2 linked regions of the Styela clava genome follow. The protein of the gene in region 2 binds, or shares a complex with, the protein of the main gene of each other region. Links are inferred from orthologs where the notes say so. Each region holds a gene or a part of one and is shown on either strand. Other genes may lie near its edges.

What was found.
Region 1: microfibrillar-associated protein 1-like (region 2) and zinc finger matrin-type protein 2-like share a complex: the UniProt entries of both Homo sapiens proteins name them as parts of the spliceosome B complex. The link is inferred for Styela clava from reciprocal best matches to the Homo sapiens genes MFAP1 and ZMAT2.

The regions. Positions count from the first base shown.
Region 1 is NC_135251.1:24,961,485-24,965,244, forward strand, and holds the start of zinc finger matrin-type protein 2-like, read right to left. Parts: upstream 2,209-3,760; 5' UTR 2,084-2,208; intron 1,522-2,083; coding exon 1,343-1,521; intron 948-1,342; coding exon 533-947; 3' UTR 1-532. Other genes in the region: uncharacterized protein LOC144419940, read right to left, coding at 3,613-3,726. UniProt on the Homo sapiens protein: Involved in pre-mRNA splicing as a component of the spliceosome.
Region 2 is NC_135261.1:7,094,930-7,098,562, forward strand, and holds microfibrillar-associated protein 1-like, read right to left. Parts: upstream 2,723-3,633; 5' UTR 2,669-2,722; coding exon 1,250-2,668; 3' UTR 630-1,249; downstream 1-629. UniProt on the Homo sapiens protein: Involved in pre-mRNA splicing as a component of the spliceosome.

The DNA of each region.
Region 1 (3,760 bases), on a different chromosome or scaffold from region 2:
AAATTAAAAACATCAGAATTTGTAAAAAAGTGTTACTTGGTAAAGACTGTTTCATCAGAATACTCGGGTATATTTCCATTGTCAATTCCAAAAAAAAGAGCTAAGATTATTTACATCCACAACAGTGATACAATAGTTTGAATATTCATAAACTTAAATTATTCCATATTTATCTATCATGAGCCACTGAAGCGTTCTACTTGGGGCTTTGTCAAATCGAACTAACACACAAATTTGAAACATTTCCTTTCCATTAGGATAAAAATGTTATAGGTCATACGAATTAAAAAATACTATACCTCCATATGACTTCTGACCCAGTGTATAGTATAATAAACTGGAAAGGAAATGTTGAAACTGAAAATTTGTGATGCTTGTACAATGCTTTCGAAAAAAAAAACAATACCTAAAAATGCCAGCACTTCTGATCAAAGGAATATTTGAGAATAAAAAAGTAATCTGTAAAATTTTATACCACAATATCTGGAATTGTGTACTTGAAAATACCACAAAATACTGTGCAAGCCAGCTGTCATCGTTTCTTGCCACCACCAAATCCTCCAAAACCCATCATGGCAGCAATGTCAGAGTCATCATTCGACACTTCCAATTCTTCCTGTGCTTTTCGTTTTCTCTTTTTCTTTTCTTTCTTATAAGCTTTCATTTTTTCCTCTTCTTCCTTTAGTTCCTTCATTCTTTGATCAAAATCATATTGCTTCTTCTTTTCTTCCATTTTTTTCTTGTTCATTTCAAATCTTTTTTGCACTTGGGATAACGTGGAACGTTCAACTTTCATTGACATTCCCATATTTCGTTGATGTTTTTTACCATTAATATGATCCAGAAAGTTTATTGAGTCCTTAACAACACAATCACATACATTGCAATAATATCCTCCGCAATCTGCAGCTGCTGTTGTTTTACTGATTACGACAGATTTGTTGAGTCTGCATTAGAATTACAAAAATGAATACCAATGAGTTCTTTACTTTTCAAACGCAGTTATAGACAAAATTATCAAAGAATTAAGAGTCACTCAATCATATGCAAGATAGTACCGATACATTGCAGCATTGTAACCACTAACAAGTGACAAAAGTAATGATTTCATTTTGAGTTGCAGTAAAATGTGAGCAATTGAGTCTGAAACTGGTACGATATCCCTATTAACATATATGTTGATATGCTCTATTTATATTTATGCCATTAATTATAAAATTGAGTCATTACAGAAGTCTTCAGCATAAAAAACAAAAAGCACAAAAATCATATAAATGTTCGCATTGGAACTGAGAGTTGTACATATCGAATAACAAGAAATCTGGATTTTTAAAAGCCTTACTTGGAATCTAAATCAACTTTATAATCTCTTGCTTTTAACAAATCTCTTTTCACAGGTTTATCTTTAAATTCCTCAGACTTTTCATTCTCTTCATTCAGTCGTTCCAGTGCAAGTTTTTCATATTCATCTCTGTCCCATTTCTTCCTGTGGTCTTCATAATCAGATGATGTAGCCTCCATCTATAATATTTCCTATAACTATAGATACCATAACAGTATAATTTAGAAGGTAACTCTGTTTCTGTGAACCACTCACAGATTCAGTTAGACTATATTAAAATACATATGGTAGTCTACTACTATAAACTACTGAACGTTCACTGAACTACTGATGTTTGTAGTCACTGCAGTACAGAAATGTATGTTTACTTTTTAAATGCAGACTTTTTACCTGCCATTTCGACATTTACGTCTGACCGTACCGGTACGGTCTGACGGCACAGAATGGCTAACTAACCCCATACGGTACTCCAGTAATCAGATACCCGACATGATTTTTTATGACGTTTTTGTACTAAAAAAAAAACTAATCCTACAGAGCGGAGGATCTCCTAGGATTCAGATATTTTATTCACGTCGTGCATGAAGGAAACCTAACATTATACGGTACCAGCATATGGGCAAATATATAGACAGTAGAATTTCAGTGAAACACACCAGTAACCGGCAACGACTAACATACCGTAACCGGTTAACCTCAGAGTGACGTTTGACGTAATAAGGTAAATTTAGGATCCCTTACTTTACAATGGTTTCAGAGCAATTTCGCAGTTCTGGCCCACAGAAGACTCAGCAGGTGTTTTCCCGAGCATCGACTTATTTGTTTACTTCGTGACATAAGCCAATCAGCAAGATGCAAAAAGGGACGTAACAATGCCCATTTTCGCATCAGCTCAGACACTTTGTCTTTCAGATAGATTTTCAGGCGTGGTGAACATTACCTCGTTTTCGCGTTTTTTGAAATCTATTTGTTAGTTTCCAGTTGTGTTTCGGATATTTAAATATATATTAAATAATTCAAGGATCACGTTGTCTTCTTAGGAGTTTCAGTTTAGTTGCAGTAATCAAAAATTAGTGTAGAAATAGCTGTGATAGACTAGGCTAAAATTCTTTACTAGCACTTTCAAAGAACATATTGTTCCCACTTTACAGGCGCCAAATCGCGAAACCACTGTTAAAATGAGCACCGACAATTTTGCAATGGTTAGGTACAAAGTGACATAGTCACTTTGGCTAAAATAAGCTATCAGTACACCTGTAAGCGGCACGTGGTTCGATAATTTTTTTTAATAAAACTGATGGTTTCAAAATGTTTAGGGAGAATGTTTTAAGGTATATCACATACTGAATCGGCACTCTGTGTATATATTGAATTGTTGAATAATGCTGTCCGATTAATATTTATTTTTTTTTTGATTTTTTATTAACTTTTACATATGGATGTCAGCTTAACTGTATTATGTCGAATGTACATTCTGGTGCTGTCATTCAATTCATCATTTTTACTTTTAAACCCGTCATCTCGCTGAAGTGGAAATCGCCATGGTAGCATCAAATCATGGGGCTTTTGTAGCCTACTTAGTAAAATTGTTGGCCTTTTTCGTCTTAATTTGGCTTTTTTTCATCACTGGGATCTGGCAACCCTGCTTTGGCGGCGGCCTTCTCTGACAGTAACTCGGCGAAGATTGTTGGTAATTTTGCGCTATGAGAGCGCTGCGTTCTTCGTTATGGCGTGCCCGCAAATCGCCATATAATATTGATCGGACTTTCCGACGTGCTTTTCCCCAAAGCTTGCTATAGATTATAGAAAATATTTAATTCGGTCCAACAGAGGTAGTGTAGGCCACTCATAAATAACAAGATAAAATACTGAAGATATAATGGCAATCTGAAAATTATGAACACTGTCGTATTGGATCCTCATTTCACAACAAGGGAAGTTTTGTGTACAATGAGCGTCCATACATTATATTGCCTAAATTTATTAAGATTTATACTAGTTACTCACAGCGTTTATCTCTATCCTACGAATGGCATTGCGAGGACTACGCACTGAAACCAGAGGGTAGTAAATATTTGTAATATTACTCTCATGGAAATACTGACTATATCACATTAGCAACTACATTTAGGTTTGACTTGCTTACAAATTATGGAAAAGTTTGCTGTGTCTGTTCAACAACAATAAATACTACTAATACAACAAAATGTTCTTGTGCTTAAATTTAATACATTTTTCCATCGCAAATTCACGTGATGCATTCAAATGATTCAAAGCACTTTATTGAGACGAACGTCCTCGGCACACATTCCAGGCTCTATTGTGATGTCATCAATTGCGAGATCACCTCGAAAATCATCTCCTCTTGTCATGACAAGTTGGACCTATGAAAAGTTGAATGTTAACAACCTGATCTGT
Region 2 (3,633 bases):
GGATCTGGCCCGCGGACCGTAGTTCGGTGCCTCCTGAGATGGACAAAGTCAGACTAAGAAACAAAATCGCCTCCGCATGGATGAGATTATTTTTTGTGATCCCTTGCGCAACGATATGGCTCATCGTACTAAGCGTTAGGAATACGCTCGCCACCGCACCCCCGATTACTCTGCGTGGGTTCGCAGGTTCGAATCACATGCTGGGATGGTTATGTGCGAGAAGATTGCTGAACTCCTCGCCGCCGCGGTTCACGTAAGCTCTGGTCAGTTCCGGCTTCCTCCACCATCAAGTCCATGGTTCCGAAAACAAATAACTAACTAATCCCATACCCGACGTGGAATGGTAATAGGACGAGAGGCCGTGGTTCGACATATGGTTAAGCCGTCCTATCGGCTTTCCTCTCCCTGGGATAAATATGTAAATCCTATCCAACGAGTTCGGCGCAGGATGTCAATGCATGCCCCAAATTGTAATAAACCTCCAGCAGTATTTTCTTATCCACTGGTATTTTCCCACCGCACTGGTGTTTTAGGTCAGTTAGTCTTTGTGCATGCAACCCCACTCCATGTTACAATGCGTTTATTTCGTTACCTGGGAATTTATATTAGAACAAATAAAGAAACGTACATACAAAAGTGCTTTTATTCGATCAGTTTGTAAACTGTCGGCATACCCTCCAATTCAGTAAAGCTTTACATATCTGCAAATTATTAGGGTATTTTTTGCAAATGCAAATATCCAAATACCACATTTTCACTTTATTTTTGAGGTGCACAGAAACCGCTATTATATAAAGTACTTCATGAACGGGTAGTCAGTCAATCAGTATCAAAAAAGGGTTGATATTTCCACGATAAAAAGCTATATGTTTACTACATACCAGAGATGGCCATTGAAAATGAATAACAATTTTGTCTTAATATATAGTAATGGAGATATCTTTTTACAACGGTTACAGATAATGGATTTTGTATAATTCATTCCTTGACTTTCCTTACAAATTGATAAAAATTTTCAATAAAACTCAAAATAAATATTCTATTCCATAGTGAAAGCTCTTGAATTCTAACATTTTTGAGAAATGGAGCCATAAAGTGAAAAAAAAATGAGAGCCCGTTTGCACAGTACAACAAATTATTTGAACCTTATACCGTAAGTTTGCCACTTGGTAATCTTACGCTCCCCATCTTGGTCCTACAACCAACCAAGGATGTTCAAATTAAAACCAAATACAACATAGGTAAAATATTATGTTTTCCTTTGTTTTCCAGAAGGCCGTTCGAAATTTTGTTTCATTCCGCCACCTTTATTAGACATAAATTTGCCTGACAAAGCGTTATCTTGATTCCAGGGGGAGTCGTACACTGTAGTGTCCTGATCAAGTAAATGTGTGTATTTGGTTCTACCAGATCGGCCAAAGTTTTTAACTTGCATGACTTTAGGTAAAACAGATTTATCGAAATGATCTTCAAGGGTTGGATTCGTAATATCACGTTTTAGTGTATCATCTTCTTCATCAAGATAAAAGGCACCACGATGATAATATTTTTGTAAAAATTTGTATTTTCCTTTTTGTAGTTGATTGGTAACGACCTTTGGATTGTTACGAAGTTCAGCTTTACGTTCTTCTTCCGTCATGTTTCTCAATCGTTCAGCTTCTTCCTTTGCTTTCTGTTCAGCTTCTCTTTCATCTCTGTCACGTTTGATTCGTTTTAACTCCCGCAGTTTCCATGCTTCATATTCGTCCTCATCGTTTCCATCGTCAGAATCGACCATTTTAACACTTGCTAGGAGTTTATTTTCTTCGTCGACCTCCATACGAGCTTCTTTTTCGACGAGTTGCAAAGTATATTTTCTTCTTTCTTCCATGACTTTACGAGCTTGTTCTTCAGAATTTTTCAGTTTTTCTTCTTCTTCACGTTCTTGAATGGTTATTCGATCTTTCTTTCTAACGAAAACAGGTTTTAATCTTGGTCCTTCATCCTCGGAATCTGAATATTCGGATTCCGAAGTAAATTCTTCATCATCGTCACTGCTTTTCGCTCGATCCATTTCTTCTTCTTTGATATGTACTTCTGATGTCTGTTGCACTTGATCGAAAAGTTCTTCTTCAGTCTGTCGTTTTGCTTGTACTCTTTGTCGAAGCAACATTCTTCTATTTTCTATTTCATCATCATCTAAATCCTCATCGTCACTGCTTTCCTCTTCAACAACTGTAACTTTTTTTGAATATGGTTTACTTTCTTCTGGTTCCGAATCTTCCCCTTCACTGATAACTTCCGGTTCGAAATTGCGCCGATGTCTCAACCTATCGCCTCGTTCTTGTTCTGTCGGACTTCTATCCATGAGTCTTTGTAATCTTCTATCGACAACAGATTTTTGAGAGTGAGATTGTTCTCCTTGATCTCTCATTTCATAATTAGTATCCACATCATCTCGATCATAATTTTTATTTTCAAATTTTCCTCCCTCGTCGTCAGAATCTCTATCAAGATCTAATTCTGGAGCCCATTCAGGTTTTTTACCGGCAACATATCGCTTGACTTTTACTTTTTTCATTGAAATTTCACCTTTTTCATTTCTAATTGAAACCGCACCAGCCGTGAACATGATTGGCTGAGGCTTGGAGGATTCCTCCAAAAACCTCTCTTGACCGAGAGTAAACATCTTGTAAGTATTTCCTAAAGTTATAATGAAGAACCTCTAGAGAAGGAATTTAATAATTAGTTTACTAATATTATAATTCTTATTATACAAAATCGCTTCAAATTGCTAGCAAACTGGGTAAACCCCAAGAATTTAGATTGAATGAAATTTGCGATTACTGCCAATTGTAAAAGATTTTTAAGAATAGCAGTTTGCAGAATATAATGATTTTGGTTGAGGACAGTGTTTCGCAATATGCCCCTCCCCCCACCCCGCCCTTCCAAATGCTCTGAACACTTGTGGCCCACTGATGAACCATGAGAACACCTAGTTTTAATTTTAACGGATTTCCATCATTTTATATGCCATGTAATAGTAAAAAATGCCAAAAACCAAAAGAATAAATGGATTACAGCAAAAGAATTACCAAATTACAGTCAAATGTACTTCAGTTTAAATTAATATATTCATCTCAAATACTTTGAAGGTTTTTGCTTGAAGCCCCAGCTTGAGAAACCTTGGTAATAATATAATAGTTATACAGTAATACAAGAAAGGCGATGTGAAAAACAGTAAAATTGAATGTTTTTGACATCAATAATCATACTGCAACGATGGAGTGAACAACATTCAGACATTCCAATACCTGAATAAAGCTGAATAAAAGTGATACAACTCTGCAATGCTCTTTTGACTAAAAGTCTTATAATAACAAAACGGAGTGATACGAATAGGATGGCCATGTCAGCATGCATACCAAAATTAGCGACAGCTTGAACTTGTATTTTCATAGAAAAGTTCTAAACATGGTCTTCGAGGCGACCAACTTTCAGAAACATACCGGTACCGTTCCAGTAGTAGATTATGATCATATAGCCTATCTGTATATTTCGGTACAACAATTTGACCATCCTGTGCGCAAATTATAGGAAAAGTCACCAGCCAGCTAGCGAAAACAGTAACCCAATCTAATAATTTACTTGTCA